Oryctolagus cuniculus: one gene and its partners. The protein of the gene in region 3 purifies or fractionates together with the protein of the main gene of each other region. This does not show direct contact. Links are inferred from orthologs where the notes say so. Each region holds a gene or a part of one and is shown on either strand. Other genes may lie near its edges. The genes, in order: PWWP2A, SIN3A, RBBP7, BACC1, CUL4A, PHF1 and SAP30L.

Evidence for each region.
Region 1: the proteins of RBBP7 (region 3) and PWWP2A purify together in Homo sapiens (affinity purification with mass spectrometry; 3 studies listed by BioGRID and IntAct, with this or other methods). This does not show direct contact. The link is inferred for Oryctolagus cuniculus from reciprocal best matches to the Homo sapiens genes RBBP7 and PWWP2A.
Region 2: the proteins of RBBP7 (region 3) and SIN3A purify together in Homo sapiens (affinity purification with mass spectrometry; 8 studies listed by BioGRID and IntAct, counting the BioPlex papers as one, with this or other methods). This does not show direct contact. The link is inferred for Oryctolagus cuniculus from reciprocal best matches to the Homo sapiens genes RBBP7 and SIN3A.
Region 4: the proteins of RBBP7 (region 3) and BACC1 purify together in Homo sapiens (affinity purification with mass spectrometry; 3 studies listed by BioGRID). This does not show direct contact. The link is inferred for Oryctolagus cuniculus from reciprocal best matches to the Homo sapiens genes RBBP7 and BACC1.
Region 5: the proteins of RBBP7 (region 3) and CUL4A purify together in Homo sapiens (affinity purification with western blotting; 4 studies listed by BioGRID). This does not show direct contact. The link is inferred for Oryctolagus cuniculus from reciprocal best matches to the Homo sapiens genes RBBP7 and CUL4A.
Region 6: the proteins of RBBP7 (region 3) and PHF1 purify together in Homo sapiens (affinity purification with mass spectrometry; 7 studies listed by BioGRID and IntAct, with this or other methods). This does not show direct contact. The link is inferred for Oryctolagus cuniculus from reciprocal best matches to the Homo sapiens genes RBBP7 and PHF1.
Region 7: the proteins of RBBP7 (region 3) and SAP30L purify together in Homo sapiens (affinity purification with mass spectrometry; 3 studies listed by BioGRID and IntAct, counting the BioPlex papers as one, with this or other methods). This does not show direct contact. The link is inferred for Oryctolagus cuniculus from reciprocal best matches to the Homo sapiens genes RBBP7 and SAP30L.

The regions. Positions count from the first base shown.
Region 1 is NC_091437.1:47,036,226-47,039,980, forward strand, and holds part of PWWP2A (PWWP domain-containing protein 2A), read right to left. Parts: intron 2,267-3,755; exon of another isoform or gene 1,765-2,266; intron 1,032-1,764; coding exon 1-1,031. UniProt on the Homo sapiens protein: Chromatin-binding protein that acts as an adapter between distinct nucleosome components (H3K36me3 or H2A.Z) and chromatin-modifying complexes, contributing to the regulation of the levels of histone acetylation at actively transcribed genes.
Region 2 is NC_091443.1:108,567,762-108,571,516, reverse strand, and holds part of SIN3A (paired amphipathic helix protein Sin3a), read right to left. Parts: intron 2,484-3,755; coding exon 2,245-2,483; intron 225-2,244; coding exon 41-224; intron 1-40. UniProt on the Homo sapiens protein: Acts as a transcriptional repressor. Corepressor for REST. Interacts with MXI1 to repress MYC responsive genes and antagonize MYC oncogenic activities. Also interacts with MXD1-MAX heterodimers to repress transcription by tethering SIN3A to DNA.
Region 3 is NC_091453.1:3,004,326-3,007,820, forward strand, and holds the end of RBBP7 (histone-binding protein RBBP7), read right to left. Parts: intron 2,056-3,495; coding exon 1,945-2,055; intron 993-1,944; coding exon 924-992; 3' UTR 531-923; downstream 1-530. UniProt on the Homo sapiens protein: Core histone-binding subunit that may target chromatin remodeling factors, histone acetyltransferases and histone deacetylases to their histone substrates in a manner that is regulated by nucleosomal DNA.
Region 4 is NC_091448.1:51,719,539-51,723,871, reverse strand, and holds BACC1 (chromatin complexes subunit BAP18), read right to left. Parts: upstream 2,858-4,333; 5' UTR 2,634-2,857; coding exon 2,613-2,633; intron 2,429-2,612; coding exon 2,334-2,428; intron 1,853-2,333; coding exon 1,751-1,852; intron 1,186-1,750; coding exon 995-1,185; exon of another isoform or gene 876-994; intron 784-875; coding exon 679-783; intron 527-678; coding exon 462-526; 3' UTR 264-461; downstream 1-263. Other genes in the region: RNASEK (ribonuclease kappa), read right to left, coding at 3,194-3,335, 3,599-3,675, 4,291-4,333. UniProt on the Homo sapiens protein: Component of chromatin complexes such as the MLL1/MLL and NURF complexes.
Region 5 is NC_091440.1:693,359-696,803, forward strand, and holds the end of CUL4A (cullin-4A), read right to left. Parts: intron 3,439-3,445; coding exon 3,286-3,438; intron 2,121-3,285; coding exon 2,025-2,120; 3' UTR 666-2,024; downstream 1-665. UniProt on the Homo sapiens protein: Core component of multiple cullin-RING-based E3 ubiquitin-protein ligase complexes which mediate the ubiquitination of target proteins. As a scaffold protein may contribute to catalysis through positioning of the substrate and the ubiquitin-conjugating enzyme.
Region 6 is NC_091436.1:135,735,549-135,739,889, forward strand, and holds the start of PHF1 (PHD finger protein 1), read right to left. Parts: upstream 2,837-4,341; 5' UTR 2,642-2,836; intron 1,958-2,641; 5' UTR 1,942-1,957; coding exon 1,783-1,941; intron 1,699-1,782; coding exon 1,617-1,698; intron 1,509-1,616; coding exon 1,413-1,508; intron 1,249-1,412; coding exon of another isoform or gene 1,158-1,248; intron 984-1,157; coding exon 883-983; intron 803-882; coding exon 654-802; intron 506-653; coding exon 410-505; intron 257-409; coding exon 188-256; intron 47-187; coding exon 1-46. Other genes in the region: kinesin-like protein KIFC1, read right to left, coding at 4,325-4,341. UniProt on the Homo sapiens protein: Polycomb group (PcG) that specifically binds histone H3 trimethylated at 'Lys-36' (H3K36me3) and recruits the PRC2 complex. Involved in DNA damage response and is recruited at double-strand breaks (DSBs).
Region 7 is NC_091437.1:41,399,236-41,402,990, reverse strand, and holds part of SAP30L (histone deacetylase complex subunit SAP30L), read right to left. Parts: intron 1,520-3,755; coding exon 1,397-1,519; intron 1-1,396.

The DNA of each region.
Region 1 (3,755 bases), on a different chromosome or scaffold from region 3:
CCTGAACCTCACTGCTGGCCTCTTCAGGGCCTTTTGAGGGACTCTGAGTTTCTGAAGGGGCCTCACCTGCTGAGCGGGTAGAGGTGCAGCGGGACTGGGGTTTGGGCGCCATCTTGCCACTCCTTATTTTCTCAAGTCCCGTCTTCAGAGAAGAGTCATTTTCTTCATTCCTGTACCTCTGTGGTTTTAAACGAACCCGGGGAGGAAGGGAACCTGAGCTAGGATTCTGATAGCGACGTGTGAAATGGACTTTTGAATGCGCATTTTTGGAAGTAGAGGTTTCACTTTGCTTCTTTTGTGCCTTTTCTTTGGCAATTTTCAACACTTCCCGAGCTTTCGCATGATCCATATTCTTACTCTGGAGCACTTTTTTAGTATTTAACTGAGCTTTTGATGTATTTGCCTGAGCAGAAACTTTAACTACTCTGCCTCTGCTGTGAGCAATATTTGAAACTTTAACCACGGCATTTCTTTTCTGGCTTTCATTTTGGTTTTTCCCATCCACTTTATGGTCAGTTTTCAGTTTTTTGTTCACAGTAGTTACACTTTCATTTCTCCGCTTTTTGTCTTCATATTTAGTAGAGTCACTTACACTACTACCTTTTCTAATTTCCTTTTTTTCAGCAACAACACTGTTTTTACATTTATCACATAGGACTTGCCTGGGGCGTAGTTTAATAGCATTCATTATTGATGTGGGTTCTTCCCTGTACATTTTTCGTTTGGGTCGCTTAATTTTCCGAGGAGGTGGCTGAGGTATTGATTGGTTATATGTGTCCCTGATAAACAAAGGGGGAGGATAAGGTGCTCCTTCGTGGAAGAGAGGTGGTGGTTTGGAAGTCCACAAGCTTTCAGCCAAGTTCAGCTCAGGTGGTGGGAGAGGAGAAGGGTCCTCAGGAGCAGCACCATTCACTTCGCGCTTGACCTCTATCCCTTCTTGGAATGTGTTACTTTGCAGCTGCATGGCTTCCGGTTTATCCTTATATTCCCTTTTGGGAAATACTGTCACAGGGATCCCATGAGGCCCAAACCTTTGAAAAAAATAAAACACAAGTCATCAAGTTAGTTATCTGTAATTCAATTTCTTACACATAAAGAACACTTCCTGTTTTTTTTATATGATCTTTCCTGAAAACTACTTCATATAAAAAGTAAAGCACCAACACAAGAATCTACTGGCTAACTTTCCCAAAAGCTCAAAGACCTCACTTATTTTGGTTCTTCACTTCAGGTAAAAACAGAAACACTCCAAATGTTTATCGAAGGCAATACCAGAAAAGCTAATTTTACCTAAAATGGACCACTCCAGTTTTCAATCAGAAAGGATAGTTTAATAGTAAATATCATGTGCTATAACACTGAAGCATATATAACACTTTCAGAAAATGCAAGCATAAATTTCTAACATACAGATATCTTTGTCTAGTTAAAATAGCTTTCAAAACCTAAAACTCAAATTCAGGGGCCAACATTTACTATGATGCTGGCATCCCACATGGGCATTGGTTCATATACCGGCTGCTCCACTTCTGATCCTGCTCCCTGCTAATGGCCTGGGAAAAGCAGTGAAAGATGACAGAAGTGCTTGGGCCCCTGACACTCATGCGGAAGACCCAGAAGCTGCTCCTGGATCCTGGCTTTGGCCTGGCCCAGCCCTGGCTATTGTAGCCAAGTGTGGAGTGAACCAGTGGAAGGATAATCTCTCTCTCCAACTCTGAGGTTTTTTTAAAGTAATAATAAAAAAACTCGGATTCAGCTAATTACCCAAAAATACTCCATCAGTAAAATCCCATCTTTTCTTTACTTATTAACAGCTAAAGATTCCAAAGAAGTTGCTCCTTTACTCTTACATCCTTAACTCAAGGCTCCCCAGTCTGCCTGTAAAAGAAGCCAAACACACCAGAAATCAAGAAACTCAAATTACCTCCAAAGACGACAGGGTTTCAAGCTTTTAGAGTTATATTCCACATTAATAAAATTTTTTTTAAATAATATTTTCCCGGGGTCGCTGCTGTGGCACATCAGGTTGAACCACAGCCTGCAATGACAGCATCCCATGAGTAGTACCAGTTGAAGTCCCACCTGCCCACTTCCTGTCCAGCTCTCTTCTAATGTGCCTGGGAAAGCAGCAGCAGATGGCCCAAATGCTTGGGCCCCTGCAATCCATGTGGGAGACTTGATTTCCAGGCTCCTGGCTTCTGCCAGGAATGTCCTAGCCAATGAAGCCATTTGGGGAGTAAGGCAGCAAATGGAAGATCTGTCTCTCCCTTCTCTTGTTGTAACTCTGCCTTTCAAATGAATAAACCTTCAAAATTTTTTCCCATTATAACCCAATAAAAACGTTTGTGTCTGTATACATGTATTCATTAAAGGCAACTTCAAAATGGAAAATCGAATTAAAAATTTACAAGTAAATATGCATGAATATACACACTTAAGCAAAAGTTTCACCCAATAAATAACTTTATAAGATACTTGTTGACTGTTTAAAAGTATTTAATAGGGGGCCGGTGCTGTGGTGCAGCAGGTTAATGACCTGGCCTAAAGTGCCAGCATCCCATATGGGTGTCCATATGAGCAGTCCTGGCTGCTCCACTTCCAATCCAGCTCTCTGCTATGGCCTGGGAAAGCAGTAAGAAGATGGCCCAAGTCCTTGGGCCCCTGCACCTGCGTGGGAGACCCAGAAGCAGCTCCTGGCTTGAGATCCGCGCAGCTCCGGCCATTGCGGCCAATTGGGGAGTGAACCATCGGATGGAAGACTTTTCTCTCTCTCTCTGCTTCTCCTCTATCTGTGTAACTCTGACTTTCAAATAAATAAATTTTTTTAAAAAAGTATTTAACAGAATATAATTCTAACATCAATCATAAAGTAAAAGTGCTTAGAACCCAAGAATCAGGTAATCAAGGTAGAACCCCTGAAACTAGACCCAAATATTTTCTTTCCTTTTTATTTTTTTTGTCTTTTTTTTTTTCCTAGAGAACAAGTTAATGCTGTAAAACGAAGTTGAGAATACCTTTGTTAGGAAGAAATTTTGAGATTAGGTTCTGGCACTTGGAGACATCCCTAAACATATGAAATGAGAAAGACCCTATGTACACACACCACATACCTGATTCTAATGCCTAAATACTTTTCTTCCTAGTCTGTTACCTTGGCCACAAATTAACATTACAGCAAATATGTGTGAATGATGGAAGTCCACCTAACACAGGACAAGCTTGGGTCTGGGATAGACCAAGAAGGAAAAGACTCCCTCCTCACTGCAGACTTCCCAGAAAGTTACTTTTTATTCTAGCATCACATGTTAACTGTTTGCTTCCTAAATGCAAAGCACTATGATCATTTAACCTTTTGTCATTGAAGATGACAAAAGAGGAGATTTTTGTGTTTTACTATACAAAACATACTGTTGACTTATCTGAAGTGAGACCACTATTTGTATTAACACATTTTTCGAATTCATAGACCATTTCACCCCATTGACCAGTCACATTTCTGATAAGGGCATTTTCTTTGTTTAGCTATGCAAACAACTAAACCATCATTACCTTCATGTTTGAATAACCTTTCATAGCTATCTCCTATCAAATGTTTGTACCCTCAAAACTTCTATCCTGAATAACACTTCCTACCTTGAAGGATTCAAGTCAGAATTAACAGCTCAATAAAGTTTAGCCATCTCTCAGGCCTAAAATTCATTTAAGTAATCTGATTTTTCAGACAATTTATTAGAGGTTCACATCTAGATTTTTTT
Region 2 (3,755 bases), on a different chromosome or scaffold from region 3:
AGCGGCAGGGGGCAGGGCGCAGCGCGGAGCCGCTGCTCACCTCGTCGTAGATGCTCTCGATCTCGTTGAGCAGGCTCTTGGACCGCAGCACCTTCGTGTCGTTCTGCTTGAAGTTGATGCCCTGGTGGTCCAGAGACTTCAGGTAGTACTTCTCGTTCTGCTCTCGCCACACCTTGTTGAAGCCCCTCTGAGCTTCTCGCCACTCCTCCTCTTTCATCTTCAGCCTGCGTGGGAGGGAGGTGCACACAGCGACAAGTGGGAACTCAGGCCCAGAAGGGAGAGGCATGCCAGGCTGACTTCCAACCCAAAGATCACTAGGGCTGCTGGAGTCCTTCACAGCGAGGGGCAAATGTCATCAGACCCGGCCTGGACTGTCACGTGGCGAATCAGCCATTCAGGACGCACTCTGAGGCAGTAACTGGTGCCACAACCACAAATCTAATCTAGTTACTTCCCAAACAGCACCCCAGAAAACCCCCTGGGGCGAGGGTGCATTTCCTTCAAGAAGGGGCTCTCTGCCTCAGACAGCTGGAGAGCCTTAGGCCCTCTCCTACACTTGGACACAGTCCGCAAAGCTCCAAGCGGAGTCCCTGACTCTGAGGCTCCAGGGAAGAATGAAAACCAACACAGCACCAGAACTAAAGGCTAATCTGCACCTCAGAAGCCACACGTCAAACACTACTGGCTAGAGGAATAATCCGCAGCGTGTGCCTGCTCTTTAGGGGAAGGCTGGGGACGAAAGGTAAAATCTGGACTTGTGTGAGCTGTGCAGCAAACAATCAACGTTCGCCAGGTGATACCGAGAGGATTTAGCTCTTAGCCAAAGCGTCACAGCACGGTCAGAGTACCAATGGGGGCAGGCAACTGGCCTACATCCGCCTGCCAGGACCTGGGTTCAACATCCAGTTCTGGCCTCCAACTTCAACACAGCTTCTGCCAATGCAACCCTGGGAGGCAGTGCTGCCGGCCTGAGTGGCTGGGTCCCTAACACCTATGCAGGAGACCTGGATTGGGTTCCCAGCTCCTGGCCTCCGCCTCCGGCACTGCAGACATTCCCGAAGTGAGCCAACAGATGGGAAGTCTGTGCCTGTCTCTTTGCCTTTCAAATATTAAAAACCAATAAAGAATTAAAAAAAAAAAAAAAAAAAAAGGAATGCCATGAACTTAGAAAGGACGCTGGAGCTCAGCCCTGCCTGTGGTCTCTTGCTTGAAGCCTTAGGTGGGTACTCAGCCCTCCACACCCAACCGTGCCTGGTCTATCAGGACAAACATTCTTGGTAAAAATGGCAAACACTGTTTTCACGAGCATGTCTCAATTTTTACAAATACTCTTGTGGCACGGAAGGCGCAGCCGTGGCCTGTGATGCTGTGCCAATTCAAGTGATAGCCACCCTGCTTCTAATCCAGCTCCCTGCTAATGCACCTGGGAAGGCAGCAGATGGTCCCAGTGCTTAGGTCCCTATCACCTGTGTGGGCATTCAGAATGGAGTTCTGGGCTCTTGGCTTGGGCCTGGCCCAGCCCTGGCTATTACAGCCCTCTGGGAAATGAACTAGTGGATGGAAAACATCTATTCTTTCTTTCTCTCCCCGTCACTCTTTCAAATAAATAAAAAAATTCTACGAAGAGTGATTTTTTATTATAAAACACACCAGGATCTTCATAACAGCTAGGACTGAACGGTAGGAACATGGGTCATTTCTTTCTTGGCTCTTCCTGTATTTTTTTTTTTTTTTGACAGGCAGAGTTAGGACAGTGAGAGAGAGAGAAAGGTCTTCCTTTTCCATTGGTTCACTCCCCAAATGGCTGCTACGGCTGGCACGCTGTGCCGATCTGAAGCCAGGAGCCAGGTGCTTCCTCCTGGTCTCCTATGTGGGTGCAGGGCCCGAGCACTTGGGCCATCCTCCACTGCCTTCCCAGGCCACAGTAGAGAGCTGGACTGGAAGAGGGGCAACCGGGACAGAATCCAGCACCCCGACCGGGACTAGAACCTGGGGTGCCGGTGCCGCGGGTGGAGGATTAGCCTGGTGAGCCGCGCGCCGGCCGGCTCTCCCTGTGTTTCACAACAGCCCCACACCTGCTCTCTACAGCTGGTTACACAGAACCTTCACAACAAGGTCCCTTCTCCTGCTTGTACCCAATTTCCAACAACCAGGGCTGGGGAGACACTCAGGCCAGCAGGAGCTCTGAAGGGGAGCCTGAGCCTGGGCGCAGCACAGGACAGCAGAAGGGCCCGGCCCAGGCACCTCTTGAGGACGATGGGCACGGCGATGGAGGGGTTCTTGCGCAGGCCATCGATGATGTCGGCGGCCTTGTCGGCATATATCCTCTGCAGAGCTTTGCGGTGGATCACCTCCGACGTGCCGCCAAGCGTGTTGTCCAGGCGGAACTTGGCCTGCTCCTCGGCAGACAAGCGCGAAAGCTTTTTCTGTATTGCTTCCAAAACCCGGATGGTTGCCAGATTGGTCTCCAAAACTACATCCAGCTGGAGAGAGAAACAAAGGTGCTTAGCACCCAAACCAAAACAGAGCGGCGGGGTCAGAGACCCGGGCTGGACGCTCACCTCCTTGACCAAGCCCGGCTCTGCCACTGCAGCACAGTCCAAAGGCGGCAGCACCCGGGGTCCTCCTGAGGCTGTTCTGGACTGACTGTACGATCTACACGAAGAGTCCAGCACAGCAGCTGGCACTCAGACACGTCCAGCCAAGACGAGAACGCGGCGGTGGTCCCTCACAGCACTGTGCCCTGCTCTCCACAGCTGACCCTACAGACCAGAGGGGCACACGGGAGCCACCCTGCTGCCACTCTCCCTGAGCGTCACGCACTGCTGAAATCCCTCACCAAACACCACTCAACACAGCCTGCTCCACAGCCAGCAGTAGTCTGAGCGCTGGCGCTCACTTCTCGTGGAGTCCACATTCTATCTGGGGGTAACCACTTGAATTCTTACTCTGGCCACTTATTTTCTGGAAGAGGTCTCGCTCATCTGGCACTGCACGCCTTAGACTACCCGTCTCCAAGGTTTCACACAGAGTCTAAATGAGGGACAGAGGGTGCAGCAATGAGCAGTGTGCAAAGGTGTCCCCCACGTTTTCTTGTTCCAGGACCCCGCTCCCAATTATGGATGAGCAACGGACTGAACTCTCTAAATCTCTCACGATCGCACGGGGCCCCGTATCTAGTGTGGCAACCGAGTTGTGAGACGAGTGTAAGTCCTGGTACTGCTCCGGGTGGGAGCATTCCGGCATCTCAGATCCTTCTTAGCTCTTTCCCTCTCACAACCAGATGCGGTCATCCTCAGAGCCAAGTCCCCAGCTGGACATGAACCCCGTTTTCCCAGGTCCCTGGACTTGGAAGCTGTCTTACAGCGTCCTGACTGATACAGGAACTCACCTTCCCCAGGTCATCCCTCAAACACAGCCCACAACTCACTGCTCCTTGCCCTTGCCGGCGCCAATGGGCAAGGAGGCTGCTGCCCCCCGCTGGCAGGCACAGTGGTCGGGAGTGAGGACTCGCACCGTGCCACAAAGATGCACACTGAGCCTGGCTAACCCGGGCAGCCAAGAAAGGCCCCGCAGTCTGCTAATCCCCACGGAGGCTAACACCTGTCAGGATCGAGTCTTCTGCAAATGGCTGGACTCCTGATGAATGCTGGGGCAAACGTGGCCACGACCTGCCAGGGGCCAGGCAGCACGTGAGAGCTCATTCTAGAACACTGGAAGCAGTGGGAGTCAGTGTGAAGAGGGAAGAGAGCTAC
Region 3 (3,495 bases):
GTAGCAAAAACTTGGGTCTGGGTTAACAGACCACCTCCTTCATCCTCGGACTTGTAGGAGTACATTTCTTGGTCTTAAGACCATTGTTTTTTAGTTATGTATGCAACTGCCTTTATTACACCTGGTTATCACAATTCAACTCTCAGGTGTTGCAGAAAAATCTACCTCTTTCAGACTGTAGATGGAAATAACTGTGAAAAAAATGATGCAGATTATCTTCTAGTTTGTGCTAAACACACTGCTTTATTTTTACAGCCCACGTCTTTCATGAGGATACGAATTGTTAAGAGGCAGTCTTGTTTTGCTTTTCAAAAACATTTTGTAGAGATTTTTCACTAATGTGAATCTGATTTTATCTACTCAATTCTGTATAGATTAAGTAAATATGTATGATAAATTTGACAGTTTCTGTGTATTCTTTTGTTGTTCATGTGACCTCAACTGTGTAGGAAGTCCATAGGTACCCATTGTCCTTTCTGCTCAAAAATGCGTGAGCACTCACCCTGACCTTTTAAAAGAATGAAACAAAGTTTATTTTAAAACTTTATTTCTGCAAAGCCAATCAAGAAAGTGTTGGAAGGAAAAAGTGTAAAAGTTATTGTTGCATATTTGGGAACAGCAAGCACTTAGTTTGAGAAAATGAGGACTTAAACAGTTGAACCCAAGGCAGTAGTACCCTGCTACTTAGGATCTTAAAACAATGGTGATGTTCTTTCTTACGCAACATTCTTTTCTTCCCTAACAGCTACAATATGATACAGTACGCAATAGCTCACTTGAAAGTGCTAGAATCAGAGGGTGAAGAACGCCATAAGCCATCCCACTTAACAATTCTTACTATACAATGCCTTTTTGGTGCTTGATAATCAAGCATTCTTTCATGTTACCATTACATTCAACAGAAAACTTCTCATACTTTGGGTTTAAGATCCTTGTCCCTCCAGTTCCGATGTTGTGACTTCTGACTCTTCGTCATTGTAAATATTTTCGGCCTGGAGATAACAACCAAATAAAGTCACAGGTAAAACTCTTCCACAATGTCTTTACAAAATCACCAACAAAATTTAGTTCACTGATCAATGTATTTCAGTGTTGGAAATTAAACATGGACACATTTTAAAGATTTTGTAGTCTGCAATATGTAATTCCACTTACATGCCTAGCCATCCTGTGATCACTGTTCATTGAAGTGTTTTTGGCCGGCGCAGCGGCTCACTTGGCTAATCCTCCACCTGCGGCGCCAGCACACCAGGTTCTAGTCCCGGTCGGGGCACCAGATTCTGTCCCGGTTGCTCCTCTTCCCATCCAGCTCTCTGCTGTGGCCCGGGAAAGCAGTGGAGGATGGCCCAAGTGCTTGGGCCCTGCACCCCCATGGGAGACCAGGAGGAAGCACCTGGCTCCTGCCATCGGATCAGCGCAGTGCGCCGGCCATAGTGGCCATTTGGGGAGTGAACCAACGGAAAAAAGGAAGACCTTTCTCTGTCTAAACCTGCCTGTCAAAAAAAAAGTGTTTTCCAAAAGTCCTTCAAGCATCATTTAGAGGGAGCTATGGCCATGTTATTTATGAAAGACTTGGTCAAGTGCTCAAAGAACTCAGCATGACTTGAACATCTTGATGTTCCCCTTTTGTCTCCACACCTATGACAGAGCACAGGCCCTGGAGACAAAGGTATCCAGCCAGCCTTGGATGAAGAGCACAACAATCAGAGCAGGTGCTGCATCTGCAACCAGCGTGCTCATATAGAGACATTACAGACATTTCTCCCAACCCAACAGGTGCTACAAACTGCAGATCAAGAAAGTACCAGTATCGAACTAAAGATTGTGTTAATATGGAAAATATTCTTTTGCAATGTTTCAACACTGGTTTTGTAGAATGTGCATCTTTTATATCACTAGCAAATCTCCTTTATGAGACAGTTGTGAAAAAACATTTCCGCTCACCATTTGCCATATCTGCATGATGTTATCCTCAGACACGGAGCAGATGACCCAAGGCTCATTGGGGTTCCAACTAAAATCTGAGATCTTGGCAGTGTGTCCTCCATGAATAAACTGTTAATAAGAACAAAAAAGGGTCCTGGTTTCATGTCATCTTCTATTATTCCAAATAGCTAAAAATTTTAGTTTTGAGAGTATCATTTTTGGGGGTGGCGAGAACAACTGTCACAAAATTGAGAGGGAAGGCAGCAACAGGCTCAATCTGTCCCACATAGGCCTAAGGAGTCTCCTGGGTCTCTACCTTTACTAAAAGAAATGCAGACCTCATACCCTCCCCCAGTCTTTCCAAAGGTACATTGTCCCAAGTTAAGAAAAAAACCTCAACCCCTGGGGCTGTAAAAGCATATCTCCAGGGTTTCCCATGGAGGCCTAAGCAGAGAGCTTTGCTGAAGGGGTAGCGTCTGCTTTCCCACAAGAGAACCTCACAGGAAGGCCCTGTATCTTATCTTTGCATTAAGATTCAGAGCAACAGCTCTTGTCAAGGACAATACAAAAGGCACACTTTCTGACAAAGTCTGCTTTGACTGCTTAGACAATGAGGTCTCTGTCAATTAGTCTACATGCGATGTAACTATTTTAGCTAGTATTCTATCAGTTTACAAATTGAGGGTATAACAGTTTCTCAAAAACACTTATGGGGTATACAAGTAAAAATATGGCTCAAAATATGGGTCACCAGAGCAAGACACTGTCATATTGACATGATAGTATACAGTTTACTCAAATGTCCCGATTTCAGGGTTTGTGTGTGTGTGAAAAGAACAAAGTCCTAGAGGATTTTCAAGGACCTCCAGGAAACGGTTGCAAAGCCATGATGTACAAAGTAATAAACTTTGCCGTCTCTGCTATATATATAAAAAAAAAGCTGGAAACCTTGAAAACATCACGCTAAAGTTAAAGAATCAGTCACAAGGAACGCATATTTTATGAGTCCATTATATGAAATGCCTACAATAGCCCAATCTTAGAGACAAAGACGGATGGTGGCTGGGAGCCATGGGAAGATCAGGAGGTGAGTATTAGGCAGTTTCCCTTTGAAGGAACAAAAAATGTTCTAGAACTGACTTGTGGAAATGGTTGTACAACTCTGAATATACTAAAAAACACTGAATTGTATAAGTAAGTGAATTGTATGGTATGTGAATTATAACTCAAAGCTGTCACTAAAATAAGTGAAAATAGCAGGACAAAAATAGCTGGGAGCGATGCCTTTCCTAGAAAATACTTAAAAACTATGAAGTGCTGCTTCACAAAACGGATTCTTTGGAATAGGTTGCCCAATATAGAATAAAGCCCTTGTATGTGGTCTGGCTAGTGCCACGGTTTACTGAGAAGTACACCCTGAGTTGCTACGGCATGGTAACTAGCTGCCTTAAAAGGACACACAAGGTAGGACCTACTGAGCACCTTCTGTGCAGTTTACTCTCAAGGGCCTTCTTTACCTTTAAAGACTCATGGGGAAAGCACAAATGTACTAAAAATTGGTGCAGGTAT
Region 4 (4,333 bases), on a different chromosome or scaffold from region 3:
GTTTCAGGACTTCTGCCTGCCAGAGGCCCTGGGACTACGTCCTGGCTCCAGAGAGCAAAGTGGAGTCTTTGTTGCCTACACCCAGCTCCCCTGGCTCTAGCAGCACAGAAATATTGGCACCGGGAGGCGAGTCTGCCAATATTGGCTGTGCTGCTCCAGGCGGGGTGGCGAGAGCTACTGGGAGGGGCTGGGCCCCTGAGGGCCGAGGCCAGGAGAGGGAATGGCCCTCTCCTGTTAATAACGTGAGCCCGACAGCACCAAGCTGAGAGACAAATCTTTATTGTTTTCTGTATAAAAATGTCCATCAGACAGAGGTCAAAGGGCTTGGGGCGGATGCTCGTCCAGGACCAGCCAGGCGGCCAGCCCCAGCAGCCTCTGCGCCTCTCTCGGGCAGGCCTCGCTCAGAGTCCCAGGCGATCCACAGGTCCAGGCGAACGGTGAGAGGGCTCGGAGGTGGGAGGTCAGCAGGAGAGCAAAGGAGCTTCAGCGCAGGTCTTTAGGCGGCCAGAACCCAGGGTCAGGCTGTCTGGAACAGGAAGGAGAACAGACCGAGATGGAGCGGGCCCCAAGTAGGCCTCTGAGACAGTGTCCCGGCCCGGCCGGCAGAGTGCACAGGGAAGGGCTCCTGCTGAGATCCTACCCCGCCCCCAGCTGGTGTGGGAGGAGGGGGACTCCTACCCTGGTGGAAGTTGAGTTTCTTGGCCGGAGGAGTTTCTCCCAGCCCTTCAATATCCACCAGGTCGCTATTGGCGTCCGAGTCGTTCAGAGCACTGAGCGTCACGTCTGCGAGGGGGGCACAAGCTAGGCTCTAGGTTCCCGACCACCCCGAGTTCTGTGCTCACCCCATCCGCCCCACCCCCTCCCCCTCTGCCCACCCAGGGGAGAGGAAGCCAGAGGGAGCGGAAGAGCTGTCTTGCTTCGCCCAAGGCCCAGTTCTCTCACTGAGCCTCAGATGGGACCTCTCGCGCCGAGGCAGCGACTCCACCGCCCTCACCGGACTTCTGTTTCTTTACAGGGGGGGCCCCGGCGTCAGGGACGCTGCAGCTGCTGGGCGGGGGGGCAGCCGGGGGAGGCGACAGGACCCCAGAGGCCACCTTCTTGGGCCCTTTCTTGGGTGACTCAGCTGGAAGCGCAACGCCAGAGTCTTCATACACCTTGCGTTTCACAGTGGCCTTTATCTGAGCCCTGAAGAGAAGACAGCCGGTTAGGGAAGGAGTGATCACCAAGTGGGGAGGGTGGGGGAGGAGGGAGCCTCTTCGCAAGAATTTTTGGTGGGGTTCTTTTTCCTGCAGCTTTGCCCTCACACCGGGCGGATGGATGTGAGGAGTGGGCTCCCTGAATTGAGTACGGGGAAAGGCCCACCCCTCCTGAGTCTCTCCTGGGAGAGAGGTGTGGCTGCAGAGGGCCACCAGGTAAGATGGAGACTTATTCATAGATCCCAAGCAATATTCAGAACCGCAATATTCCTGGAAACACTGTGGGAGAATCTCAAGAGATCTGTCGGATTACCCAGGGAACCTTGTGGGTCAAATGCAGTGATCGTGTCTCTCAGACAACCTGAAATCAGATTCTTGGAAGGCCCTCATTGCCAGGGCATTTTTGGGATGTCTGACCAACGTGACCATCCTTGTGTGTTTGCAGTCCTCAAGGGAGGACACGGAGCTGCAAGGGACTTGTGATGAGGGTGGAAGGAAGGGTGAGGGGAGGAAAAGGGCCCGCCCCCCGTTCTCTGCCCGCCTCCCTCCCTCACACGGTCCGTTCCTTGATGACACAGCTGATGTGATTAAGATCGTCCCCAAATCGTTTCACAGCAGCCCTCAGCATCTCTATCTCGGTGTCCGTCCACTTGGCTCTGTCGGGAGGGGAGAGGGGTCAGCAGAATGGGGAGAGGCGTGGAGCGAGCCGGCTGGCGGGGCCACAGCCGGCCAGTCGCCGCCTCCCGGTCTCTGGGGCCCCGGTCACGGATCCATAGAGAGGCCCTCTGTAAGGAGAAGAAAAGCTTGGAGGACCCCCCGGCTGCGGGAAATCGGGACACCTCGGACCACCTCTCTCTCCCATCAACGTGAAAGCCTCGCAACCTGCACCCTAGCAGTCTGCAGCAGCCCGAGGAACGGGAGTGGGTGGTCGTGGCGGGGGTACGACGGGGAAGTAGTGCGGGGCGGGGCCTGTCTGCATCTGTCACTCACTCACTCGACGATCACTTATTAACACCTGCTCCGGCTGTGCCAGCCACAGGGAAACTAACCGCTGTCCCTGCGCTAGAGAGGGTCCGCGTCCGCGTGGAGTCCGAGCGTCCGCCCTCAGCGTCCACGTCCCAGCCCGGGCTCACGTACCCCGCGGGAGAAGAGTCGGCCACGGGATGCAGTTGCATCGTCAGCTCCCCGAGCTTCGTGAAGGCGGCGCCCGCCGCAGAGAAGATCTCCCCGACCTGGGGGCGGGGCAGCATGACAGGGGGCCGGCGCACACCCCCGCGCCGGCCCGCCCGGAGCCCCTAGCCCCACCCCGGCTCGGCTCCCGCCCGCCCCCCGCCCGCGGCGGAAGAGCCGGGAGCCAAGCGGGGGACCCGCCCGCCCGTGGCCGCCAGGGAGCGCTGTCCGCGAGGGAGGTCGAACCTTTGTGGACGCTGACGTCATGGCCCCGCGCACCTCCTCAGGGAGACGCTGCCGCCGCCGCCGCCGCCGCCGCCACGCGAGCCGGGACCACGGAAGGAGCCTGGCTGCCGCGCCGCTCCGGGCTCCGTGCAGGAAGTCCCGCCCTCCCCGCCGCTGATTGGCCCAAGCCCTGCCGTTCCCGCCTCACCGACCGCAGTCACTGGGGCCGCCCGGGCGCGCCGAGGGAAGGAGTGGTGGAAGGCGTCGCCTCACTTCCGGTCAGCCCCATTCCATTTCCGCCCGGGGGTCGGGGTTCCCGGTCTGAGTCTGACCTCCGGCCCGCCCCCTCACGCAAGCACAGACACAAGTTTTAAGAGAGCAGCTTCTCTTTATTGTGGTACGGGACGAGGCTGGGAGGGCTGGGGAGCCAGGGGGCGGCCAACCCAGGCTCCCTCCGCTGGGGCTGCCAGAGGCCGGCGGACAGGGGTTCAAGACTGGCCGAGGTGGGGGGCACCCAGTCCCGCAGAGCGCGCCAGTGACCTGGGCCGGGGAGAGTCTTATAAATAGAGGACGGGGCTGGCGAGGGCAGCAGGGACCCTGCTCTAGCGCACCATGTATTCCTTGCGCTTATTGAGCCGGACTTGGCAGAAAGAGAAGCCTCCCAGGAGGAGGTAGAGGCCCGCGGCGATGAAGCAGTTGTAGCTGACTTGCTCATAAAGCTTGTATATGTTCTGGGGGCCGTTCCTGGAGGCGCGGATTAGGCAGAGAAACGGCGAGCGTTAATAGCAGCCAACACTCAACGGCGCAGTTCCTGTGCGCCTCGCTGTCAGTCCTACGGGGCGAGTGCCACAGTGCCCGCTTTGCAGAGGGGGACTGAGCTGGGCGTACGATGGCCGCTGAGGCCTGACCCCTACACGGCTGGCCAGCTGCTTCCTCCAGCGCCCCCAAGCATCCCGCCCTTAAGTCAGACTTTAGCCACCTGCCCACCTCCCCACCCGACTACTTACTCAAAGTCTTTCTCCGTGAAGGGAACGTCCTCGATTAGCACTGCAGAATGGACATTGAAAAATATTCCGAGCATTATCTTAAAAAAAAAAAAAAAAAAAAAAAAGGAATGGGTAGATTGTAGGACTCAGGCACCTGACTTCCTGGTTACCCCCTAAACCCCTTCTATTTCTAATATTGCCACAACACCTGGGCCTGGGATGGACCAGAATGAACCAGGATTAGGGGCGGCTGCTGCCGGCTTCGGACTCAGCCGCCTGGAACAGGGCGTGCGGTGGCGATGCCGAGACGGGTGATGGGACAAGCGCTTTCCCAGGAACCCACATTGTCCTCCTCCCCAGAAGCGTCACCCTCACGGGACAGGGCGGAAGACGTGAGGGAGGACCGCCACTTCTTCAAATCATTTCTTCTGGAAGTGGGGGCGGGTGGAGCCCGCTACCCTCTTCGGGAACGAGCACCCCTTATGCCCTGTACCCTCCGTTCGACCCAAGCATCTCTCAGGACCCCAACCCCAGCTCCCATTCTAGGCTCCAGTCCCACCACCCGCTAGGCTCCAGTTCCCTCTTCTGCAGCCTCAGTTCGGTCTCGTTTCGCACCAGCCCCGCCATCCTGCCTGCTGCTGGCCCAGGCCCGGAGTTGCCTAGCCTTCGGCCCCGCAGGCTCGCCACCGATTCACGCTGGGCAGCCCCCTCACCAACATGATCACTCCCCAGGCGCTGAGGACGATGCCGCAGGCG
Region 5 (3,445 bases), on a different chromosome or scaffold from region 3:
TGCCTGGTCTGCACGTCCTGCTCGGCTGTGGTGTCCCCCAGGGGCTGGAGGCAGCCTGTACCCCGGGCCGCCGCCCGTGCCCCCACTACACTGACCTCCTCCACACCTTAGATGGGGCAACCGGGGTCTGTCCTGGCCTGCTCCACCCTGGGCAGGGCGTGTCCATCCCCTCTGATTCCCCAGGGCCCAGCAGCCCTGTCCTGACCACCCCATGGGACCCCTACTGGACAGCCCTCCTGACTCAGTCCTCTCAGCTCTCCGGTCTGCCCTGCCGCGGCCCTGAGCAGCCACAGCTCCCTGCACACGGTCACCATCACAACTAAACCCCAGCCCTGCCCTGTGTGGTGGCCCCCGGCCCGGGTAAGGCGGCCTCTGCCGTTCACACGGTCACTTCACCATCGTGCCAGTGCCCCGCCTTGCAGGCATACAGGGGACTTAGTGGCCCGCTCCTTCTGTCGCGGCTCTCACGGCTTCTCCCTCTCCTTTCCTGTGCACCTGCCTCGCCAGCGACTCCCCGTGCCCGCCGACCCATAACAAGCACTGAATGAGCCATACTCCCCCGAGCAGTGGGCCACGCGTGGCGGGGCGGCCAGCGGGCCGCGTCCCTGCTTCTGCCGCCCTGGAGACGGCGGAGCACCGGCTGAAGAGGTACGAGGAGCGTGCCATTTGCATACCACAGAGTTTATTACTGCGATTTTAAGGCCTGTTAGACTATTCGAAGTCAGTCCACATAAATTACATTAACAATCTCCAGACACAGTGAACTTAAAATTGAAGAAGTAGAAGTAGAAGTCTATCTGGTCTCTCCCACACCACATATCAGAATTCATAAACAAAAATTTACAAATATAGAAATAATGAAGAATAAGGATTTAAGATGGGAACCCAAAGGATGTCATATCCTAAACACGCATGTTTCAAAAACGAAGAATCTTTTAATAATTTACCACAAAATCAAATTATATAAACTTGGTGTATTCCAGAAAATATTGCTTTAAATACTTATACCATGATCAAGGTTCCTTTGGTAGCTTTGAATCAAAGTGAAACATGCTCTTATGTCAAACAGAAAGCACTCTGAAATGTGATCACAGTCACACACTGACACCCCCACGGAGCTTCCAGGGAGCTGCTGGGCTGCGCGCACACACACACACACGCACACGCACCCACGCACACCCACCCACACACACACGTAGCCAGATACCAACAAAAGCCTTTTAATCTTTTGACAAAATAACTTCTGTTTCACAATGTCAAGACTTCAAGTCTCCTAGAAAACTTTTTAATAGTGGTAGAGCAGAGAACGAGGGCTGTCCCTGCACAGGACTGTAAAAACCAAACCTGACTTTATTATTATAGTAATCATACAAATACTGCAATTTAAAAAAATCAAACAGCAGTTTCCCCAATGCCAAAAACCAGGGACTGCTAGACTCAATCTTAGAATGAACACACCAACACACGAACCCCCAGGCCCTCAACCGACAGCGCGCGGAGCTGGGCGGGACTGAAGGTGCTGGCAGCCCCGGCCCTCGCCTGAAACCCGAGTTTCAGGAATCCAGTCAAAAAGCCCGAAACGTTTGGAAAAACAGAACACACAGGTGCGGGCTGCTGAGGCTGCATCACTGGGCGGCCGGTGGAGCACGAGGGGCGTGGCTTCAGGCATCTTTAGAGCGAAATGCAGCATGTAGGGTCTTCTCGGCGCACTCGTGACCACACACACAGAACCGAAGCAGCTCAGCTCCTGCCCCGGGAACACGACCTTCTGAGGGCCGCCTTTAACCAGCGTCTCAGTCTGCACAAAGCAATAGGAACAATTTAAATGCCTAAAAGAACCAGAGGGGGAAAAGATACTTATGCCGTCTGGAGACCCAAGCCCTGTGGGGACAGCCCAGAATCAGCGCTCTCCCGTCTCGTCCAGGGCCCACAGCGGGCTCCAGCAGAGTCCCGGCGACGCGTGGAGGCGCCCCGTCGCTCTGAAGATACATTCTAGTGTTTCTCTAACGCAGACACGGCTGACGTCACGCCACATAGTGGTACTGGTTGGGATTGTCTTTGTCTCTCTCCATGTAGTCTCTGTCTATAAGAGATTCGATTCTCTTCTTCAAATCGCCAGGCTGAAAAAGCAAAGCAGAGTCCCCGATCACTGGGGTGCCACGCATGCCAATACTCACACGTGACGCGATGCTGTCCCAGAATCACTGCCACTGCACACGCACTGTGCACACATCCCTCTAACTGCACACAGGCAACGCTCAAACGAATGCCGTTTTCTACCTAAGAGAATCTGACTGCCCTCAGTGTGGTGTCCCGGGGGTGCAGGAGCATACGCAGCCCCTGCTTTCAGCGGCGCGTGCACAGCAGGGGAGGCCCCACGCACGCAGGCGAGTGCGGAAGGACCCCGTCCCTGGGCACTGGCTCTGTTACCACTCACTGACCACATTCACTGTGTCCGCACCGCATGATACAAACTCCAGTGGCCCTGCCACCTGCGCACCTCCCAGTCCACCGCATTTGGAAGCACCTATGTGAGTGCATGAGCAAGGCTCTCCCTCCACAGGGTTTCCCACAGGGCACCCTTCTGCGGCGACGGGCCACGCGGTTAAGACACAGTGGGAAACGCACTTCCCTTAAAGGCAGAGCAGGAGCTCGGGCAGCCGCGTGCCGGGCTGGCCACGCAGCCCTGCACTTGCTCGTCGGGCCTCTGGGCCGACAGAGGAGCGCGGACACCGGCCCTGGCGTGGGGGAGGACAGCAGCAGCCGTGACAGTGTTTCACGCTGATGCACGTCACCTCTGGGGGCACAGGGCTCAAGCACCGGCCGCTGTCCCACGGTGTCCCCAGTTCCCACAGCACAGGGCCAGGGGACTGGGAGCTGGTGGCAGGCAGAGCTCGTGACTCCCGGGCTGACCACACACCTGCTGGGTCTCCTTAATGCTGCCCTGCCTGCGTGCGTCCCACGTGCAGGGCAGTGACTCGGCGCTGGGGGTCAGAACGGACACCTGACCTGAGGCTGAGATGCTCTGTGGCTGCTAACTGCAGAACAGGAGTTCTCACTGCCCTCTCCTCGCAACCCCGCGAGCACCGCTGAGAAGTCTGTCCAGACACCCACGGCACATCCGCCCTTCCTTCTTGAAACAGGCACCAGTGGAATACGCCGGCCAGAGCCCTGTCCCCCAGCACACTGCATGCAGACGATCACCACTGACCGAGGCCACAGATCTGGGCCCCAGGACGGCTGCTGGCACAGCACCACGCACTCAGGCGCCCACGCTACACTCACCTTGACCGGAAACTTCAGCTGATTATACAACTCAGAAACCAGGAGATTGTGACCCAGCGTCTTCCTCATCTTCATTATTCTGACGATGGCAGCATCGATCTGATACTGTCGATCCTGAAACACCCGCTCAGTGGTGCTAACCTGTTCCTCAACCTGGACA
Region 6 (4,341 bases), on a different chromosome or scaffold from region 3:
ACAGCAGACGCTAAGGTGATAGAGGACAAGATGGGCCACGTCCACCCTGGAGAAACACGGAGTTGTCAAGGCCACAAGAAGCATTTCAAAAGCCAGGGGATTGAGATGGGCGGCTGGGGTATGTAGGGTGCAACGCGGAGGGTGCTGGGAAGGAAGCTACACTGAGGTCAGGCTCAGTCCACCTTACCAGCGAAGCTGTAGCCGTCGGACTTTCTCAGGGCCTCCCCGACACACACAGCATTCAAATTCATAGAACCTGGATGTGGGCAAGAGAAAGAGGACGTGTCACCTTGTGGAAAACCATGCCATGGAGGGCTCAGAAGCAAGGAGGGTGGACAGACGAGGAAATGCAGAGTGTGGAGCACAGGGCGGGGCAGCTTGGCCCCCTGAGGATCCGCCACGCCCTCACCTGTCCCCGTAGAGGAGGGGCTTGCTCAGACACTGGGTGCAGGCCTCATGGAACCACTGCAGGCAGCTCCGGCACTGCAGCATTTTCAGGTTCCACCTGAGGGAAACGGGACGAGTCGCCTCAGACACCCTCTTCCCCCTAACTGCCCCAAACCCTGCTCGGCACCTACCTCCCATCCCCCGTCCTCCCCTCACCCTGTTCTAACTCCTGCACCCCCTGGGATCTGCCACCTCTCATTACTCACTCCCCAGGGCCGCCACAGTAGCAGTAGCTCTGCTGTCGGTTGCTCAGATGTCCGGCGTCCCAGTCCAGCCCCTTCAGTCCGTACGGCAGAGACAGCTTCATACCCAGCATGGCCCTGGCATAGGGGCCCTTCTTCAGTGCCCCTCCCCTCTGCAGAGATACAGCAGGCGGGAGGCCTCAGAGGTGGGCGGGACAGGCTCAGGAGAGGCGCAGTAGGAGGGTGCCTTTACCTTGGTGGCGATCGCAAAGATGCACTGGCGGCAGACCCAGGATGTGCCCTCTCCTTCTCCAGGGGCTGGGGCCCGGGGAACGTGGCAGTCCTGGTGATAAGCTGAATAATGATAATGTTGATAGTAGACCACTTATTTATTGCATGCCCATGTGTGCTTGGTATTGGGGTAGGAACAGTTTTACCCATTTTATTTAATCCTTGACCACGGTTCTGCCAGCGTGAAAGTATTATCTTTATTTTACAAGTGAGAGAACAGGAGGTTAAGGGACTTGCCTGAAGTCACATGGTTAGAGAGAGATGTCTTTGAATCACCTCTGCTTGCTAAACTTATACCACCTTCATTCCATGGCTGCCTCTCCCTGTGCTGAAAGGGGGCAAGATTTCAGTCTTGAGGAGACTGGCCAGAGCAGTGGCGTGGGGACTTGGGCCAGAAGAAGCGACGTGACACAGGAGCAGTGCTGGAGGGGCAGGCTAGACACAGGCTGGCAGGCCCAGGGCAAGCTCTCCCACAGGTATCCTGCCTCTTACCGTGGCGACACTTCTCACAGCTGACCAGGCGGTTCCCAGGGACCACGGTCTCAGATCGACAGACACAACAGAGGAGTTCCTCCCCAGGGAGGGCGGCTGTGGGGGAACCCTGTGTCAGGAGGCCTGCCCTCGAGGCCCTCTGTACCCCCCCATGCCAGGTTTCTGTTTGCCATAGGCTGCAGGCTGAGGTTTCTGGGGTCTCACCAGGGCTAATGTCTTTCCACAGAACCAGAAACTGGGAATCATCCTCAAACTGGACCAGACACACTTCCCGAGCACTGTCCACCTGGGGTGGGTGAACACAGGATGAAAAGGGAGCCAGACTTAGATAAGGGGAACGGGACGGTGAGAGGTCAGAGGAAGGGCTTACCTTCTTGATGGTGCCCAGGTATAGCAGCCCATCAGTCCATCTGGCCAGCACATCTTGACCCTCCCACAGCCGAGGCCTGGGGCCTGAGGTGGGGGCCGGGGACGCCGGGTCCCAAAGTGAGGGAGCACTAGAGCGGCTCAGCCGGGGGGGCTGCGCCATCGCATCCTGGGGGGGCCTGGCCAGAAATGAGGCGGGAAGGAGATGGTGAGGAATGCTGAGGAAGCGTGCCCATTTTCTTTGCCTAGTTTTCTGTCAGGGATCAGTCTCTGCACGCCTGGTCTCCAAACCCTGGGACACTAGGACGGGAAGCCACTCAGTGTCCGGACTCCCAACTCTTCCAACTCTGGTGGCCACTTCTCCTGGCCACCCTCCCCAAAACCGAGCGCTCTCCTGGGATAGCACAGCCCGGTCTTAAGATTTGAGGAGAAATGATGGCTGGAGAAGCAGAGATTGCTACTCAGCTTCACCCTCCCCTCTGCTTAGACATATCGCCACCGCGGTACTGTTGCCCAGGCATGTGTTTAGGGAGCGTTTCTGGAGGTGTTTTCCAGAGTAGAAACAGCTGTCCCCCGGCCTGCTGGTCTCACACAGAACAATCATCCGGTGCCCGGTTATGTCAGGTCACCCTCAAATTCGGGGCTTCCTGCCCCTGGGTTAGGTAACTTCCCCGAGTGCTCTGGGAGGGGGGCGTGTCCCAGTCCCGCTCTCTCCTCCCCACCACGGCAAGTCCGAGAAGGCACTGGAGTCGGCCCAGCCCGACCCGAGGCCAGAGCGGCAAGGCTCTCCCGCCCGCGCCCTGCGCGCCGACCCCCGGGCTCCCTGTCCCCCCCCCACCAGCGCCTCCTGCCCGCCTCCTTACCGGTGACAGCTGGGGCCGCCGGGAGCCAGGCAGGGGCAGACGTCTGAGACCCAGGTGAGCCCCCCGCGCGGGGAGGGCACGTCCGGGCGCCCGGGGGCGTGCAGGCGGAGGCCGGGGGGTCCCCAGGCCCAGCCCCTCCGTCCCGGCGGCTCTGGGGCGTATGACGCAGCAGCCAAAGCAGCGGCAGCGGCAGGAGGAGGCGGCGGGGGGAGGGAGGGAAGGAGGGAGGGGAGGGACGGACCGGCTGGGAGGGGAGGACTTGGGGAAGGAGGAGCCGAAGGGGGGGCGGGCACCACCTCACCCCACCTCCCTCACCTCCAGCGGCCTGGAGGGCGCGAGCGAGCGGCTGCCCCTCAGCGGTTCGGGGCGCGAATAGTCGAGCCGGCAAGGAGAGGGAATCCCCGCGGCCCCTTCCCCGGATGGCAGGCTCGCCTTTGGGGCCAGAGGGAATCCCCCTCCCGGCGGCCTGCCTCGAGACTGGCCCCCCGCCCCATGCTACATCCGTTAGCTGCCCCACCCCCCGTGGTCACTCCAAGTCCCGCCCCCGGGCCCCAGTTCGCGGCCCCGCCCTCCATTCACCCTTCCCGTTGCCCTCGCCCCGCCCTCCTCCCGCCGATGCCCCGGCCCCGCCCTCCCCGTGGCCCGCGGGCCCCCCGCCCTCCCGCCGCGGCTCTGCGCACGCGTGGCCCCTCCCGCGCACGGCACCTGGGAAGGCCGAGCCCCTCCCCTGCCGGGCGGCGGCCGACATCGGGGAGCGCGAGGGGTCGGCGCGGATGCGCACCCTCCCGCTTGCGGGGCGGGCGCCGGGACGCAGAGGGCTAGTACCCGGGGCGGTGACGCCGCCGAGAGCCAGCCAATGGGCAGCAGGAGGGCAGCGCCCCGGCGGTTCGAACGCGAAGGCAGGAAAGGGCGGGAGGACAGCGCCTGCAGTTGGTGGGAGCGCGCGCCGCACCGCCGCAGGGCCCGGGTGCCCGTCGTAGGGGAGCTCCATCAGTGGCTGTGCTGGACAACCAGGCGGCACCCTTCAAGGAAGTGGCGACGGGGGAGGGCGCGTAGGGAGTCAGATGATCCCGAGCAGGTGAGGAAAGCCCGAGGCCGGCGTTTGGCTTAGCGGTTAAGACGCAACTTGGGGGCCAGCGGGTGCAAGATCTGCCCCTCTAACTTCATTTCAAGTAATTTAAGAAAAAAAAGACACAGCTCGGGTTGCGACCCCCATCCCACGTTCGGTTGCCCCAGCTTGGCTTCCAACTCCAGGTGCTGTTGTGCACCCTAGGTCCCTGCCCCCCACATGGGTGGGATACCCAGGTTGAGTTCTGGGCTCCTGGTTCAGCATTGTCTGTGGCGGGCATGTGGGGAGTGAACTAGCTTTCCAGGTCTCCTTTCAGAAAAGAAAAGTTTAAAGAGAGAAACCTAATCCCTAATTCCTAGCCCACAAACACATGGCTGGATAGGCACCTCCACAGCTCCTGTCTTAACGGATATGAAAAATATTTTCCTCTTTGGGCAAATGCTAATAAAATCTTTATTTAAAAAAAAAAAACTATTCTTTATTTGATAAGTCGGGTACATAGATAGCTTCCTCCACCCCGTAAAGCACCCCTTACCAACCTCCACCTCCTCCCCTAAACACACTCACAGGCACGCACACACACCCGCACGCATGCTAAGGAACCGGATGCATCTTCATTTCTTGTTGGCCT
Region 7 (3,755 bases), on a different chromosome or scaffold from region 3:
CCCACCATATTTTTTCCCTAACACAGCAAGAAAAGAAAGCTACACAGTCATGAAATATCGAAGGCCCATCAAGCTGGGCTGCCTTTACCTGCCTCTAAAAGGGATGTTCTTGCTTCAGGCAGGTGGAGAGCACTTAAAAACAAAATGAACGATCAATATGACGGACAAAAGTCCTTCATTCTTTTCAAAACATTCCTTAAACCTTTTTCTGTGTGTGTGAAAAGCAGTTAGAAATTGAACACATCCATTTCTTTAAAAATAATAATAATACTAAACGCAACAGAATGGTGCCGTAAACTAACGCTGGAAAAGGGGACCCAGGGAGGGGCAGGGGCAGGGGCAGGGGCAAGTGCCGGAATTTTCAAAGGTTTCCTCCACATCTGCAGACAAAGGCCCGCCTACTCTTTCTATTCCTACACAGTCATTTTCACTCTGAGTGCTAACAGGCAGTTGCCTTATGAAATATTCATGCATCAAATATTCAATGTACACTATAAACGGTTCTTCTTTTGCTGAGTCTTATGTGAAAACAATTTAGAAACAAAGAAAATCCAATATCCTTTCCTGGAGCCTCATGTAACAGACACTGGCACCTTGAAGGCACCATGGTTTGAGAAGCCCAGGTCTCATGATCTAGTGCAGTGGCTTTCAACACAGGACCACTGTATCCCCTGAAAGGCATTTAGCAATGTCTGGAAAGCTATTTTGACTGTCATAGCTCAAGGTATGGTATGACTGGCATCTAGTGGGTAGAATCCAGGGATCCCACTATACATCCTACAATGTATAGGACAGTCCCCCAGAATAAGAATTATCTGGTCCCACACGTCATAAGTGCCAGAGCTGAGAAACTCTGGAGCAGGATAACTGACTATGGAACAGATCCTTGGGAACCAGCCTGTACCAGGAGTCATGGAATTAGAGAGTGACAGAAAATAAGAGCTGGTAAGAACTGACGAATTTACACCTTCATCTTACAGACCACAAAACCAAGGAATAGATATCACCAAATCCTACACACTCAGTCTCTAAAGGCAAAAATAAGATTTTAAATATGTTGACATGGTGGTTGCATTTAAGCATCTTGTGAGGGCCTTCTTGAAGAAAGAAGTATGGTCTCCTGGAAAGGACACTAGAGCAGAGCTTCCCAACTCTAATCACGGATGTGACCTGCAGTCTCTGAACCTGTAAGACGACGGGACAGTCAGACCGCTGGATTTCCATGCTTTTACGTTCTCAGATTTAATATTATGACTCTACGATTTGCTTTCCAAATAAACCACTGGAGAACAAAGGGAACTAAAATTACTTCTTAGCACAAACGCAGGCCAGGGATAAGTATCACATTAGAATTCATTCCTCCAGCTTTCTCGAGCTGCTATGTTTTGGCCTTTACCTCAGGAATGTCAGTGTCGTGTTCAGGAGAATCTCCACCATCGTCACTTGTCTTCCTCTTCCTTTTATTTCGGACACTCTGGATGAAATTTTTGTGGAAATCACAGATATACAGGTGCCTTACCTAATAGGGAGGAAATTAAAGTCAGGGTTGCCAATTCCATAGAAACTGTAACAGGCATCTGTCAAATGATGGGGCTGTTTTTCTTTGTGGGGCATTGGAGAGAGACAGAGGAGTGGGCTATACTTCCGGAAGCTCACCACTGAACTGGAAAACTAGAACACACATGGAGAAACCAAGTCACCATTGAACTGTAAAGACACTGAGCAAAGGAAAAGATCCCTGGTCAATCGGTGTGGAGGCTCCCGGCTCTGCAGGCAGAGGGGAAGGAGAATCAAGACTCAGAAGTCATCATCCAGTTATGATGACAAAGGGGTGAATGAGGAGGCCCAGGGCACACAGCATCAGTTGGGTGGTAGTGACTGTCTGTGTAGGGGCTCAAGAACAGTTTAGATATTCCTTTAGATAAGACAGACTCCCTCAAGGTTTTTGAAGCAAGGAGTGATGTGACATTTCCAGGTCTATAAAAGTCATGACTTTACAATGGGGCTGGAACATGCTGTCCTGGGAGAAGGGAAGCAGGCAAGATGGGCTGTGATAACAGTCCATGGGACACCCTATTTTAACACTGAGATAGTTACTATTGCAGGATAGTTCCTTAAAATTCTTTATTAGCATGTATCACTAAAATTTTTTTTCATGTATCAGTCTAATTCTTGTATTACCTCACATATGATCTACCAGGAGAGAGAAAAATGTGGAAATTCTCACAAAGTGGAACAACATAAAAGAAGCTGGATCTTACTGCTTATTTCCTAATACAAGCTGCAGATATTCTGGCAATGAGGTGGTAACATCAGCTAAGATGTGAAGAATATGTATATACGTACTATGTTTTTATTTAAAGATATAAGTACCAGGGTTGGCGGAGGAACCATTCCAAAGCCTTAAGAAACCTAATGCCTTTATAAATGACTAGGGGTTGTTGATGTTGAAACAGCTGCTACACAAATGTTCTGGAGAGATTTAGGAATTTAAGTCTATTCCTTAAATCCTTAAAGATAAAAGTAAGCTGACAGGAAATTAGCATCAATTAAGTCAGTCCTTTTTGTAAAGAAAATAATGAATGAAAACTTCATTTAGTCAGATGAATTACCAATTCTGTGTGGTTAGATTAGTGAGCTATACACAGTTTTAAGTTTACATCGTGGTGGTGTTTAGTAGACAGCAGGTACTCTATAAAAGCATCCATAAGGCAATCTCCATAGGCCACATGAAGAAAGGTCACCACTTTCATGGTTATGAAATGGAATAGCTTTGCCAGATTCAACTCCATCAAAGGATCTTTTCGACAGGGCACAAGCCATTATCCCAAAGAATCTGACCTAGCCGATTTACACTTCATACATTATATATATATATATATATATATATATATATATATATATATATATATATGAAGGTACTTCAAAAAGTTCATGGAAATATGTTATGAGAAAACTATGTATGTGCTTCAAATCTTTTCACACCAAAATAAAGTTTTAATGCCATCTTTCCATGCAGTTTCTTTAGTGCCCATGTACTACTAGACATGATTTTCTCCTGTAAGTACACCCTGAATTCCTGATAGGAACCTGGTCCTCCACGTTAGCTAGGCTGGCATGTGAATGTTTAGAGACCAAGCCGCAACTCAAATTCAGAGTGACAAGCATGGTGGTGTAACAACAGGCAGATTAGGTGATTTCCTAAAGCTTTGGCTGGGAGACATCAGGTCTTAACATTAGAATAATGGAATCCTAGCTGGAAGAGAACTTAGCAATCACCAATGCAAACTCATTGGCCCCAATCTCAATTTCTAGAAGGGTAAACAGAAAGGACCTGACCAAGGTCACTAAAGTATTCTAACTCTGGGTACATGTACTTTCCTAGGCTACATTTTTTCCTTTATTTAATTCTCAGTTCCACTTTTCTCCAGAAAAAAGAAAAAAAAAACAAAATACATCAATTGGAGAAATGTTTTCAGGTATACTTAGTCTGAATGTCAGAACATGGCTGACAACTACATAAAATGAGTCAAACTGCCTGCGTTAGATTTTTGATGTTGTTACAAAGGTTTTCTGCTAGACTCGTCTGTTTCTCCTTAACCATTTTCAAGTACATGCCAATTTGAACAATTCAGAGCTTTTGAGGGTGGGGCCTTCCGGGTGAGAAGGAGGCAGGAGCGTGGCAGCAAAGGCTATAGTGTTGTTTTCCCCCATTTCACTTTTCAGTAACAGCGAAAAATTCTCATAACACAGCA